Linked DNA regions of Stegostoma tigrinum. The protein of the gene in region 2 purifies or fractionates together with the protein of the main gene of each other region. This does not show direct contact. Links are inferred from orthologs where the notes say so. Each region holds a gene or a part of one and is shown on either strand. Other genes may lie near its edges.

What was found. Proteins that work in one complex are often made in the same cells at the same time.
Region 1: the proteins of serine/arginine-rich splicing factor 4-like (region 2) and larp7 purify together in Homo sapiens (affinity purification with mass spectrometry; 3 studies listed by BioGRID and IntAct, with this or other methods). This does not show direct contact. The link is inferred for Stegostoma tigrinum from reciprocal best matches to the Homo sapiens genes SRSF4 and LARP7.

What each region holds. Positions count from the first base shown.
Region 1 is NC_081354.1:63,786,568-63,794,583, forward strand, and holds the start of larp7 (la-related protein 7), read left to right. Parts: upstream 1-4,997; 5' UTR 4,998-5,173; intron 5,174-8,016. Other genes in the region: protein ZGRF1-like, read right to left, coding at 2,340-2,420, 2,879-2,899. UniProt on the Homo sapiens protein: RNA-binding protein that specifically binds distinct small nuclear RNA (snRNAs) and regulates their processing and function.
Region 2 is NC_081377.1:38,215,866-38,222,890, forward strand, and holds the start of serine/arginine-rich splicing factor 4-like, read left to right. Parts: upstream 1-4,011; 5' UTR 4,012-4,115; coding exon 4,116-4,222; exon of another isoform or gene 4,223-4,508; intron 4,509-7,025. UniProt on the Homo sapiens protein: Plays a role in alternative splice site selection during pre-mRNA splicing. Represses the splicing of MAPT/Tau exon 10.

The DNA.
Region 1 (8,016 bases), on a different chromosome or scaffold from region 2:
ATAGCACTAAGTCCAGAATAGCCTGCTCCCTTGTGGGCTCCATCACAAGCTGTTCCAAAAAGCCATCCTGCAAACATTCCATGAATTCTCTTTCTTTGGATCCACCAGCAACATTATTCACCCAATCCACCTGCATATTGAAGTCCCCCATGATCACTGCGTCCTTGCCTTTCTGACATGCCCTATTTATTTCTCGGTGCATCTTGCGCCCCTGGTCCTGATCACTGTTTGGAGGTCTGTACATAACTCCCATTATAGTTTTTTTGCCTTTGTGGTTCCTCAATTCCACCCACACAGACTCCACATCTTCTGACCCTGTGTCATTTAGTGCCATAGATTTAATTCCATTCTCAACTAACAAGGCAACCCCACCCCCTCTGCCCACCTCCCTGTCTTTTCGATAAGTTGTGAATCCTTGGATGTTTAACTGCCAGTCCTGAGGTCCCTGCAACCATGTCTCAGTGTTGCCTACCACATCATAATCATTCAAGAGGATTTGTGCCGTTAATTCATCTACTTTGTTGCAAATACTACAAGCATTTAGATAAAGTGTCTTAATGCTGGCTTTCTTATCATTATTAGAGGGGTTGGAAATCCCAAGATGTCTTAAGCTATCCTTCCTTTTTGCTGTATTCCTAGTCTGCCTCGAGCTTAAATCCTTCTGTACACATGCTATCCTGTTGCTTATCTTTCCATGTAACTCCATATTCCCTGTGACTTTCACTTTCCCTTCCCCCCCGACTCAGAAGTTTAAAGTCCTACTGACCACCCTATTTATCCTTTTCACTAGAACACTGGTTCCAGATCGGTTCACGTGGAGACCGTCCCAACGGTCCAGGTCCCCCCGGTTCCAAAACTGATGCCAATGTCCCATGAAATGGAATCCCACTTTCCCACACCAATCCCTTAGCCACGTGTTTACTTCCCTAACTTTCTTTTCCGTATGCCAATTGGCACGTGGCTCAGGCAGTAATCTGGAGATTATGACCCTTGAGGACCTGTACTTTAATTTCCTTCCTAGTGCTTCATAATCCCTGACCAGGTCCTCTACCCTAGCTTTGCCTATGTTGTTAGTCCCAACGTGGACCACAACAACTGGATCCTTCCCCTCCTGCTCCAATATCCTTTCAAGCCGGTCCAAGATGTCCTGCACCCTGGCACCGGGCAGGCAACACACCATGAGGGACTCCCGATCCGGCTTGCATAGGATACTATCTGTCCCCCTAATTATAGAATCCCCTATAACAACTACCTGTCTTTTTGCTCCCCGCTCTTGAATGACCTTCTGCGCCACAGTGACATAGGCCATGAGTCTAACAATAAAAAATACGTTAACAATAATTTCAATTCACAATTCTCTCATCAATTGTTCTGGGCAATATATCCAACTGAATTATTCATACCATTCCTGTATACACATCCTCTCTCCATCATTCTCCCTGCATTTCCTATTTCTCTCCCAGTTGCTTCTACTCTCTTTCAATGATCCTTGTCCCATCAGATTCTGTCCCAACATTTTGTGCCTGAATTCTGTACACCAGTCCCCTGTTTAATGATTCTATTCCCAGTGTAAGTTTATTCAATGGTGAAATCTCTGCAAACATCTAAATATGTTAAAAACCCGATTCTAGCTTATACATCAAGTCTAATGGGAAAATCTGATTCACTTGCTTTCCTTAAAGTTGCACTTTTCAGGAACACAACTATGATGCAAAGTCAGGAATTGCTGATCAGCAACACCATCTTGTTGACTCAATCCATAATGTCATGGATCCCAAAGCTAACAACTCATTTGTGTCACCGTCTGTGGTAAATTAACTGATGACAGCTGAAATGGCAGTTCTATTCTCAAACTGGTCATTTAGACCGCAATCCAGCAATGTATCTTGGAAGAGTCTGGTGTGAACGGTGGATTTAGAGGTGATCTACCTGTGCTGAAAAATCTCTCAACACACAGGGATGGTTACTTGAGTGACAACCATAAGGTGGCCCACCCTCTGTAAAATTGTAACTGAGCAGAGAATTGGTACTTCAGGAGGGGCAAAACAGGGAAAACATGAACAGTAAATAGTCACTGATGAAACTAGAAAACCACAGTACAATACCAATTCAGTCATGTTTTAAATAGCATTTCATTGTTATAGAACATAGAACATAGAACAGTACAGCACAGAACAGGCCCTTCAGCCCACAATGTTGTGTTATGTAAGCTAATGTGTACTATGAAATCCAAGTCATCAGTAAAATAAACTTCCAATCTATTAGTCTTCAAAACATTCCTTGCACTTACGTGTTACACAGCATAGACCACATAATATTTCACTATTTGCTGAACAAACCTTATTTCCATAGGAACTGGTTCTTAAAATGCCATCATGCCATTTCTTTGCTTTTCTTGTTTTTTGATTTGTATACAGCACCTGAAATTAAAAAAAACAAAGGCTGACTCTTCAAATGATGGATGCTCTTTGCAGTAAAAATCTGTTTTTCGAACTGCTACATAGCAGAGGTTCCTGTAAATTTCATAACAATTGAAGACAATGCATCCAAGAGTGAGCAAACAGAAGGAAATAAGCAGTGGAATCTGGTCTGTCAAATAAATATTGCACCTGGTACACTGCAATGTAAAAGGTAATTTTAACAAAAACTTTAAACTTTAAAATGAATTTCAATTCATCAATGAATATAAGCAAGTAGGCTGATGTTTCAGGCCTAGATCCGTTTCTGAAGAAGGGTCTAGGCCCAAAACGTCAGCCTTCCTGTTCCTCTGAAGCTGCTTGGCCTGCTGTGTTCATCCAGCTCTACACTGTTTTATCTCAGATTCTCCAGCATCTGCAGTTCCCACTATCTCTAACACAAGCAAATTTGTTTTACTTACAACAAACTCACGGCAAGACATTTTGTTTTGTCTTTTCCAATTACCAGGTCATCTGCATCATGATGCAATTGTATCTGCCATAAATAAACAAACAGGAATGTTATGTGCATATCTGTTCAACAGTTATTTCACAAAAGGCTGACTAAGGCATTTGACTTGCACTGCATCATTCTGAATGTGCCTAGCACAGGGATCCACACAGAAACCAACAACGAGGTTCAGTGAATAAAGCTCAATCCTCCCGTTTATGATAAAATGCCATATGATGAATTTAGAATTCCAGTTTGGATGCTCCCTAATGGGTAGATGAGCAATTAGTTGAGTGAATTAGATGGGTCAGTGGATGATGTGGGTAAATGGAGTTGGGAAGGCAGGTGCAAAGATAGATAAGATAGGTAATTGTAGGACGGAGGAGAATAGATGGCTGTAGAGAATGGATCAAGTCAGAAGGATAGTTGGGTGTAATGTGGTGGTAGTTGGACCAGCTGTATGAAATACTGTGACTACAACAGCAGGTCAGAGCCTAGGAATTATGCGGCAAGTATCTCACCTCCTGTCTCCTCAATAGCTCTCCATCATTTACTAAGCACAATTCAGGAGAGTGAGGGTATATCATTCACCTGCCTGGATGGGTGGAAAACAGTTAAGAAACTCAAAACCATCCAGGACAAAGCAGCACATTTGTTTTGCACCTAAATGCACCACCTTCAACACTCACTGTCTTTACCAACTGATATCCGCCCAGACTGCTCAACCTTTCCTTCAAAGACAATACCTTCATTCCAGGTGTCAATCAAATGGATTTCCTGTACTGTCACCAAAGCAAGTCAATGATTCCTTAAATAAGATCAAAACTGTACTCAGTACTGTAGATGCATTCTCACCAATGCAGTGCTCAATTTGGTAAAACCTCTTTTACACCCCATACCCACTACAGTAAAGGCTAATTTTTACTTACCTTCTGAATTACTTTCTGTATTATACCTGCATGCTAACTTTTATAGAAACATAGAAGATAGACTCAAGAGGAGGCCATTTAGCCTTTCGAGCTGCTCCATCATTCTTCACGATCATGGCTGATCATCCAACTCAACAGCCTGATCCTGCTTCCTCGCCAAAACCTTTCGTCTCATTCACCCCAAGAGCTATATCTAGTCGCCTCTTGAATACATTCAATGCTTTGGCCTCAATTACTTCCTGTGGAAATGAATTCCACAGGCTCACAATTCTTTGGGTGAAGAAATGTCTCGTCATCTCCATCCTTTCTCATCTACCCCGAATCCACATATTGTGACCGCCGGTTCTGGACACACCCACTATCGGGAACATCCGCCCTGGATCTACCCTGCCCAATTTGGATAGAATTTTATTAGTCTCTTTGAGATCTCCACATCATCCATCTGGACTCTAGCGAAACAATCCCAACCTAGTCAATCTCTCCTCATATGTTAGACCCGCCATCCCTGGAATCAGTCTGGTGAACTTTTACTGCTGACAACACCTCAATCTCTCTGTATTGCAGCATTCTGCAGTCTTTCTCCACGTAAATACTCTGCTTTCTATTTTCCCAGCAAATTGGGAAACCACTTATTTTCCACGTTGTATCAGCCAATTTGTTGCCCAATTACTTAATCTATCTACATTTCTCTGCAGACTCAATGCATCCTCCTCAAAACTTGCTTGCTCATTTTTGAATTGTCAGCAAATCTGGCTTCAACACACTCGATCCTTTCATTCAAATCACTGATGTATGTTGCAAACAGATAAGGTTTCAGTCCTGAGCCCCGCGGCACTCCACAACGTAACTGAAACTGACCTATTTAATCACTTTCTCTTTCCTAAAAGTTAGCTCATCCTCTGTCAGCATGGACCAGTTGGGCCGAAGGGCCTGTTTCCGTGCTGTACATGTCTATGGCTCTAAAACTCAGTCAGAACAGGATTTAACTGACAGCAACGATCAGACATAAGTAACAAATAAAGCACACCTCAGAATTACCATCTCCGATTCGGTACCTTGGGCGGGGGGTGAGGAAAAAAACGCAAGTAGCATATTCGAGCTCAAATTTTTCAGCCAAATCTCGAATGTTCCCGCCGCAGTACGTCATCAAACCGCGACACAATTACCCGAGCTCCAATAAACAAAGTGAAAATGGTGCGAGCAAAAACTGGTCATGTTTGCTGTTAATGTTATAGCGAGTAGATGGGGGAAGAAAAAAATAACAATTCAATCCAAATAAATAAAAGATAGCAAAAACAAAAGCTCACAGTCGGAATTTGGAGAAATTGGATCATAAGGTACTTGCTTTCTTTTTTCTGTATTTGAATTGATATGAACGGTGCAGCATATGATATTTATTTAGTTTGATACACGGTGTTGCTGCTGAGTACTCTGAGGTTTGGAACGTTGTGCAGGTGGCCAGAATGTGGCTCCTTCCGGGTCTGGGCGCTGCTCGCATTTTAATGCCATAAAGTCAGGGATAGCATCGGTAGGCTGCACTCACTCTCGTTCACACGCACTTCTCTCGGGGGGTTTAAACACGCAGAGGGTAAGTAGCAACATCTTTACACGCATTTGACCTAGTGGGGTTCGCAAGCGTGTGTGCAAAATGAACATCCTACCCCTTTGGATGATAACTGCTTATATTCCACTCACATGAGCCATAGACTGTTATCATCAAGCACCCTATTTACTCCAGACCCACTTTCCGGCGCTTAGTCTGTATCTTTGTATGTAATTAGCGATTCATGTGATCATCCAAATGCTGTTTAAATGTTGAAAAGGTCCCATTTCTACCACTCTTTGATGTGATGAATTCCCGATATCCATTACCAAGTCTTTAGATGCCCTCTGAACCTCATGCTGCTCACTTCAAATGCATGCCCTATGTAGTTGATCCATCTACTAAGAGGGTAGGTTTCTTCCTGTCTAGCCTATTTACGCCCTTCCTTTTTGTACTCCTTCAGTCCTTTCTGCTCAAAGGAAAACAATCCCAGCTTGTCCACTTTTTCTTCTTACCAGAAATGCCCCAGCACAAGCAACACTCTTGAATTTCCTCTGCACCCTCTGAAGAGGATTCAAATCCCCTTGTATTCAATGTTTTGATTAATACACGCAAGCATCCCATACACCTTCTTGCCTGCCCTAATGCCTTTCTGAATCTGTAGACCCTTCATAGGGTCCTAGCTTTTCACATTTACTGCTTTGCCCTTGTCAGTATTTCAAAATGCATAATTTCACACTTTTCAGGATTAAATTTCATTTACCATTATTCTGCCCATCTGACCAACCTATTTATAACATCCTGTAATCCAGTTGTCTTCCTCACTATTTAGCGCAACATCAATAGTGTCACCTACGGACTTACTGATGAAACCTTTTAGATTCATATCTTGACAATTAATGTACAACACACACAGCAAGAGGCCCAGCACTGAACCCTTTGGTATGCTGCTGGACATAACCTTCCAGTCACAAAAACAACCTTCAACTACTATGGTCTGTCTCCTGCTTCTAAACCAGTTTTAAATCTGATTTGATAATATATCATTAGTTATTTTGAATTTTCAGCATGGTTTTTTTTTGAGCCCAAATTGTGGCCTTTATTCATTTTTCTCTTGCCACTTTTAGCCTCTGTTTACATGACTAAATTCAAATGGTTTCAGTTTTAACACTGATATATTTCTGGTCTTTTGGGTAGCTGGGATATGATGACATCCTTCCAGGTTGAATTATTGATTCCTGTTCATTACTTAAATTAGAAACTATCATCCAGTGATTAGTGACCAAATTGAACTTTTTGCACCTATGTTGATACCAATAAAAAATGGCCTGTTTTCCAGTAGTTTGATTGAAGGAGAACTGTTGGTTTTCAGAATGAAGGAGGACTTTGAAAAATACCATGAGATCTCGTATGTCCACCTGAGGGGGCAGGTTGAGCCCCTTTTAATGACACCTTCCATGTAATCTGTCTTTAATTATTGGTGTAGATTTTGCTGTTCTGTTCTGTGGAGCAAAGGTTTTAACCCACAACCTCCTGACATGAAGGTGAGAGACCTATCACTGGTTAAGACTGAGATGATGCCACTGTACGTTGTTAAACCAGCTTACCAAAAGTTAAGGACAAAACTGATTGCGAGTATTGATAGGAACGTGCACTAACAATCAGCTGTTCCACCCAGCCACCAAAAGTATAGTTGTCGGTATCATAGCCAATATCTGATACGTGTGGTTGTAAAACAACAATTTCTGCTGTCACCTGTTGGGCAGACTCAGTTTTTGTGTGTGTATACAATCATGAACACTTTTAAGAGAACAGCAACTAATGCTTTAAAGATAGTAGGAACTGCAGGTGCTGGAGAATCTGAGATAACAAGGTGTAGAGCTGGAGGAACACAGCAGGCCAAGCAGCATCAGAGGAGCAGGAAGGCTGACGTTTCGGGCCTAGGCCCTCCTTCAGAAATGGGGGAGGGGAAGGGGGTTCTGAAATAAATAGGGGGAGGGGGCGCCTCCCCCTCTCTCCCCATTTTTATCTCTATCAATTTGATAACATCACATCTCCTTCTTACGGCAGGGAGAGTTTAAGATTTGACAGATGTGTTCAAAATCATGAATTGCTTTGATAGTGTGACCAATGAGAAACTGTTGTGAATGGCAAAGGGTCTGTAACCAGACAGCACAGATTTAAGACGAATGACAAATGAGCTAGAGGCAAAGTGAGGGAGCATTTTTACACAGCTAGTTGTGATCTGCAATGTCTGAAAAGATAGATACGTAGTAACATTCAAAAGAAATTCGAAATAAATGTTTGAAACAAAAAGTATTAACAGAACTGTTGCGGAAGAGTAGCAAGTGAAATTGATTAGCTCTTATGTAAGCACAATGGGCTGAACAGCCTGTTGTGCTGCAACTTGAGTTTAAGTAGAAGTTGTGAACTTGTAGCATTGATTTACAGCATAGTGAAGTCTTCTTTGTTAGAAATCATAGAATGAGAAGGGTATCTGGAAGACAGGATTTGATATAATGTCTTATTTTCTTTTTTATTACCATCTGCTCCATCATAACTTATGTTTGACCTGTTTATTATTAAGTCACTGTTTGCAAGTTTCCATGTCTGGATGTGGTATGGAGAGTGAAAGGC
Region 2 (7,025 bases):
AATCTTACTTCTTTAACTGCGAGCCTAACCTTCCCTCTACTGACCACTTCTCCTGCCTCCAACACAAGCCCTCCTCTTGGACACCACCCCAAGGCCTCCTACCCTCCCTCGAACTCTTCACCTCCAACTGTCGAGACATCAGTCGCCTCAACCTGTCCACCGTCCTCACCCACTCCAACCTCCCCCATGCAGAACGTGCAGCCCTCCACTCCAATCCCAACCTCACCATAAAACCCGTGGACAAGGGAGGTGCAGTTGGAGTATGGCAGTGACCTCTACGTGGCTGAGGTCAGGCACCAACTCTCCGACACCACCTCCTACTACCTCCTGGATCATGACCCCATCCCCGAACACCAAACCATCATGTCCCAAACCATCCACAACCTCATCACTTCAGGTGACCTCCCACCCACAGCCTCCAACCCCGCACCGCCCGCTTTTATCTCCTTCCCAAAATCCACAAACCTGCCTGCCCTGGTCGACCTATTGTCTCCGCCTGCTCCTACCCCACCGAACTCATCTCCACCTATCTGGACTCTATTTTCTCCCCCTTGGTCCAGGAACTCCCTACCTACGTCCGTGACACCACCCACGTCCTCCACCTACTCCGGGACTTCCAATTCCCCGGTCCCCAACAACTCATTTTCACCATGGACATCCAGTCCCTATACACCTGTATTCCGCATGCAGATGGCCTAAAGGCCCTCCGCTTCTTCCTGTCCCGCAGGCCCGACCAGTCCCCCTCTACTGACAACCTCAACCACCGAGCCGAACTCGTCCTCACCCTCAACAACTTCTCTTTTGATTCCTCCCACTTCCCTCAGACAAAGGGGGTGGCCATGGGTACCCACATGGGCCCAAGCTATGCCTGCCTCTTTGTAGGTTACATGGAACAATCGCTCTTCCGTACCTACACTAGCCCTAAACTCCACCTCTTCCTCCCTTACATCGATGACTATATTGGCGCCAGCTCATGCTCCCACGAGGAGCTTGAACAGTTCATCCACTTCGCCACACGTTCCACCCCAATCTCAAGTTCACCTTGACTGTCTCTAACACCTTCCTCACCTTCATGGACCTGTGTCTCCATCTCAGGCAACGACTTAGAAACCGATATCCATTTCAAGCCCACCGAATCACACAGCGACCTAGAATACACCTCCTCCCACCCAACTTCCTGCAAAAATGCTATCCTCTAATCCCTATTCCTTTGCCTCTGCCACAAGTGCTCCCAGGATGAGGCATTCCAATCCGATACATCTCAGATGTCCTCATTTTTCAAGGACGGAAACTTCCCCTCTGCAGTGGTCCAGAACGCCCTCAACTGTGCCTCCCACAATTCCCGCAACTCATCGCTCACACCCCGTCCCCACAATAACAAGTAAAGAAGAATCCCCCTCATCCTCATGTATTACCCCACCAACCTCCGGATCCAACGCATCATCCTCTGACACATGCACCATCTGCGATCCAACCCCACCCAAAGACAATTTCCCTCCCCAGCCTTGTCTGCTTTCCAGAGGGACGACTCTCTCTGTGACTCCCTTGTCTGCTCCACACTCCTCTCCAACCACACCACACCCAGCACTTTTCTCTGCAACCACAGGAAGTGCTACACTTGCCCCCACACCTCCTCCCCCACCCCTATTCCAGGACCCAACAAGACTTTCCACATCAAGCAGATGTTCACCTGCACATCTTCCAATGTGGTATACTGTATCTGCTGTACCCATTGTGGCCTCCTCTACATCGGGGCTACCAAGCGGAGGCTTGGGGACCGCTTTGCAGAACACCTACGCTCAGTTCGCAATAAACAACTGCACCTCCCAGTCGCGAACCATTTCAACTCCCCCTCCCATTCCTTAGACGTCATGTCCATCCTGGGCCTCCTGCAGGGCCACAACGATGCCACCCGAATTTTGCAGGAACTGTAACTCATATTCCACTTGGGAACCCTGCAGCCCAATGGTATCAATGTGGATTTCACAAGCTACAAAATATCCCCTCCACTACCGCATCTCAAAACTAGCCCAGCTCATCCCCGCCTCCCTAACCTGTTCCTCCTCTCACCTATCCTGTCCTCCCACCTCAAACTGCACTCCCATTTCCTACCTACTTACCTCATCCACCCCTTGACCTGTCCGTCCTCCCTGGGCTGACAAATCTCCTCCCTACCTCCCCACCTACACTCACGTTTACTGGCTCCATCCCGGCCTCTTTGACCTGTCTGTCTCCTCTCCACCTATCTTCTCCTCTAAAGATCCGCTTCCCCCTCTCTCCCTATTTATTTCAGAACCCTCTCCCCCTCACCCTTTTCTGATGAAGGGTCTAGGACTGAAACGTCAGCTTTTGTGCTCCTGAGATGCTGCTTAGCCTGCTGTGTTCATCCAGCTCCACACTTTGTTATCTTGGGTTCTCCAGCATCTGCAGTTCCCATTATCTCTCTCTCCGCACCTTGCTATCTCGGATTCTCCAGCAGTTCCTATTACCCCCTTCTTTACACCTTCTGGGTACAGATCGAACTTAACAGCAAGCAACAGAACATTGCCAAGCCCGAATGTCCTCTCTACCACGACCCTAGATGTGGGGCATGGTGAACGTTTGCACTTTGAAAAGTATGCCGTAAGTTATCAAGCACTTTGGGATGTCCCACGACCAAAGGAACTCTGCCCACGCCAATAAACGTTATCTGGGACGCCCAGAAGATGAAAATAAGAGATAATAAAGTGTGAAGCTGGATGAACACAGCAGGCCAAGCAGTATCGCAGGAGCACAAATGCTGACGTTTTGGGCCTAGACCCTTCATCAAAGAGGGGGATGGGGTGAGGGTTCTGGAATAAATAGGGAGAGAGGGGGAGGCGGACCGAAGATGGGGAGAAAAGAAGATAGGTGGAGAGGAGAGTATAGGTGAGGAGGTAGGGAGGGGATAGGTCAGTCCAGGGAAGACGGACAGGTCAAGGAGGTGGGATGAGGTTAGTAGGTAGGAGATGGAGGTGCGGCTTGGGCTGGGAGGAAGGGATAGGTGAGAAGAAGAACAGGTTAGGGAGGCGGGGATGAGCTGGGCTGGTTTTGGGATGCAGTGGGGAGAGGGGAAGAACTGGGCTGGTTTTGGGATGCAGTGGGGGAAGGGGATGAGCTGGGCTGGTTGTGTGATGCAGTGGGGCAAGGGAAGATTTTGAAGCTGGTGTAGTCCACATTGATACCATTGGGCTGCAGGGTTCCCAAGCGGAATATGAGTTGCTGTCCTGCAACATGCGGGTGGCATCATTGTGGCACTGCAGGAGGCCCATGATGGACATGTCATCGAAAGAATGGGAGGGGGAGTTGAAATGGTTCGCGACTGGGAGGTGCAGTTGTCTATTGCAAACTGAGTGGAGGTGTTCTGCAAAGTGGTCCCCAAGCCTCCGCTTGGTTTCCCCAATGGAGAGGAAGCCACACCGGGTACAATGCATACAGTATACCACATTGGCAGATGTGCAGGTGAACCTCTGCTTAATATGGAAAGTCATCTTGGGGCCTGGGATAGGGGTGAGGGAGGAGGTGTGGGGGCAAGTGTAGCATTTCCTGCGGTTGCAGGGGAAGGTGCCGGGTGTGGTGTGGTTGGAGGGCAGTGTGGAGCGAACAAGGGAGTCACGGAGAGAGTGGTCTCTCCGGAAAGCAGACAAGGGTGGGGATGGAAAAATGTCTTGGGTGGTGGGGTCGGATTGTAGATGGCGGAAGTGTCGGAGGATGATGCATTGTATCCGGAGGTCGGTGGGGTGGTGTCTGAGAACGAGGGGGATCCTCTTTGGGCGGTTGTGGGGTGTGAGGGATGTGTTGCGGGAAATGCGTAGACGCGGTCAAGGGCGTCCTCGATCACTGTGGGGGGGAAGTTGTGGTCCTTGAAGAACTTGGACATCTGGGATGTGCGGGAGCTGAATGCCTCATCGTCGGAAGAATTGGGAATAGGGAATGGAATTAAGCGATACACACTCCCACCGTTTACGCAGATAACGTGTGACGAACCCCGCCGTGTTTACGTCAGGCGGTGTGGTGACGCATGTCGGCCGGGAACCGGAGCAACGGTGATTTCGTGAAAGCGCGCGAGTGAGACAGACAAGCAGCGAGAAAGAAAGATGCCTCGGGTTTACATCGGTAGGCTCAGTTACCAGGCCCGGGAGCGGGATGTGGAGCGGTTCTTCAAGGGCTACGGTAAAATCTTGGAGGTGGACATAAAGAACGGGTGAGTCAGACAGTCGGACACCAGCGAAGAAAATGGCGTCTGTGCGGCGAACGCCCATCAGGTCCCTCGCCACGGTGGAGGCCCCGGACCCTGTGGCTCCAATCGTACTCCTCCCTATTCAAAAAGGGGAGAAACCCGCCTCTCTCTTTTTCCTTTTCTCTGGGAATTGGGTGGTGGGCGAGGAAACGGGCTTTTCTTGATTTCTCTTTGTCTTTGTTGAGGCTGGAGGTGCGTCACGAGCTGCAGAGGCATTGCCGCCCCTCCCCCACGGTGCGCGCTGTTGATGTGCACGCGCTCCTATTCCCCCTGCGTGCGCGCGTCCACCACTATTGTACGCGCTCCGGGTGCTGCGACACTTCACTGCGGGACATTTTCTATCTCTGCTGTTTCTATCGGAACGTACTGTGATATTGGAAGGGGAATCCCGTTCAACTCTGGCTGGGCGGCTGGTTTGCAATGCCCAAGTAACTCCAATACTATGAGTTCAAATCTCAGAGGTTACCATGAACACTGATGCTCAAACTCTCCCCGCGGTCTGATAATACTGTGGCAACTACAAGATAAACGCCTCCGTCCTAAATAGGAGATAACAAAGTGTGAAGCTGGATGAACACAGCAGGCCAAGCAGCGTCTTAGGAGCCCAAAAGCTGACGTTTCGGGCCTAGACCCTTCATCAGAGAGGGGGATGGGGAGAGGGAACTGGAATAAATAGGGAGAGAGGGGGAGGCGGACCGAAGATGGATAGAGGAGAAGATAGGTAGGAAGGGGATTGGCCGATGAGGTTAGTAGATAGGAAATAGAGGTGTGGCTTGAGGTGGGAGGAGCGGATAGGTGTGAGGAAGAACAGGTTAGGGAGGTGGGGAAGAGCTGCGCTGGTTTTGGGATGCAGTGGGGGGGAGGGGACGAGCTGCGCTGGTTTTGGGATGCAGTTGGGGGATGGGAGATTTTAAAGCTTGTTAAGTCCACATTGAGACCATTGGGCTGCAAGGTTCCCAAGCAGAATACGAGGTGCTGTTCCTACAACCTTTGGGTGGCATCATTATGGCACTGCAGGAGGCCAGGATGGACATGTCATCTAAGGAATGAGTGGGGGAGTTAAAATGGTTTACGACTGGGAGGTGCAGCTGTTTATTGTGAATCGAGCAGAGGTGTTCTGCAAAGTGGTCCCCAAGCCTCTGGTTGGTTTCCCCAATGTAGAGGAAGCCACAACGGGTACAGTGGATGCAGTATACAGCACTGGCGGACGTGCAGGTGAACATCTACCGCACTTGCAGATGTGCAGGTGAACATCTACCGCACTGACTCACCCCATCCCAGGCCCCAAGATAACTTTTCATATCAAGCAGATGTTCACCTCCACCCCCTGCCCCACTGCATCCCAAAACCAGCCCAGCTCGTCCCCGCCTCCCTAACCAGTTTTTCCTTTCACCTTCCCCTCCTACTTACTAACCTCATCCCGCCCCCTTGACCTGTCCATCCTCCCCGGACTGACCTATCCCCTCCCTACCTCCCCACCTATACTCTCCTCTCCACCTATCTTCTTCTCCATCCATCTTCGCCCTGCCTCCCCCTTGCACCCTATTTATTCCTGAACCTTCTCCCCGTCCCCCTCTCTGAAAGGTCTCGGCCCGAAACATCAGCTTTTGTGCTCCTGGGATGCCTCTTGGCCTGCTCTTGTTCATCCGGCTCCACACTTTGTTATCTTGTAGACTGATGTGATGTTGGTTTTCTTTGTGTTGCTACAACATTTTGCTTTTGCCTGAATTATATGCAGCAGGGTATGAATGTTATTTTCCTGCCGGGTGCTCTGGGAGTTTTTACCAATTGGGTAAACTATTGAAGGAGAGATAATGGGAACTGCAGATGCTGGAGAATCTGACATAAGAAAGTGTGGAGCTGGGTGAACGCAGCAGGCCCAGCAGCATCTTAGGACCACCAAAAATGACATTTCGGGCCTACCCCCTTCATCAGAAAAGGGGAGTGGGGAGAGGGTTCTGAAGTAAATAGGAAGAGGCAGATTGGAGAGGAGAGTATAGGTGGGGAGGTAGGGAGGGGATAGGTAGTCTGGGGAGGACGGACAGGTCAAGGGGGCGGGATGAGGTTAGTAGGTAGGAAATGGAGGTGTGGCTTGAGGTGGGAGGAGGGGATAGGCGAGAGGAAGAACAGGTTAGGGAGGCGGGGATGAGCTGGGCTGGTTCTGGGATTGCAGTGGGGGGAGGGGACGAACTGGGCTGGTTTTGGGATGCGGTGGGGCAAGGGGAGATTTTGAAGCTTGTGAAATCTACCTTGATACCATTGGGCTGCAGGGTTCCCAAGCGGAATATGAGTTGTTGTTCCTACATCCTTCGGGTGGCATCGTTGTGGCACTGCAGAAGGCCCAGGATGGACATGTTGTCTGAGGAATGGGAAAGGGAGTTGAAATGGTTCGCGACTGGGACGTGCAGTTGTTTATTGCGAACCGAGCATGTGTTCTACAAGCGGTCCCTAAGCCTCCGCTTGGTTTCCCCAATGTAGAGGAAGCTACAGCGGATACAGTATACCATGTTGGCAGATGTGCAGGTGAACGTCTGCTTGATGTGGAAAGTCATTTTGGGTCCTGGGATGGGGGTGCGGGAGCTGTTGTGGGGGCAAGTGTAGCACTTCCTGCAGTTGCAGGGGAAAGTACCGGGTTGGAGGGGAGTGTGGAGCGGACAGGGGAGTCACAGAGAGAGTGGTCCCTCTGGAAAACAGACAAGGGTGGGAATGGAAAAATGTTTTTGGTGAGGTTGGACTGCAAATGGTGGAAGTGTCGGAGGATGATGCG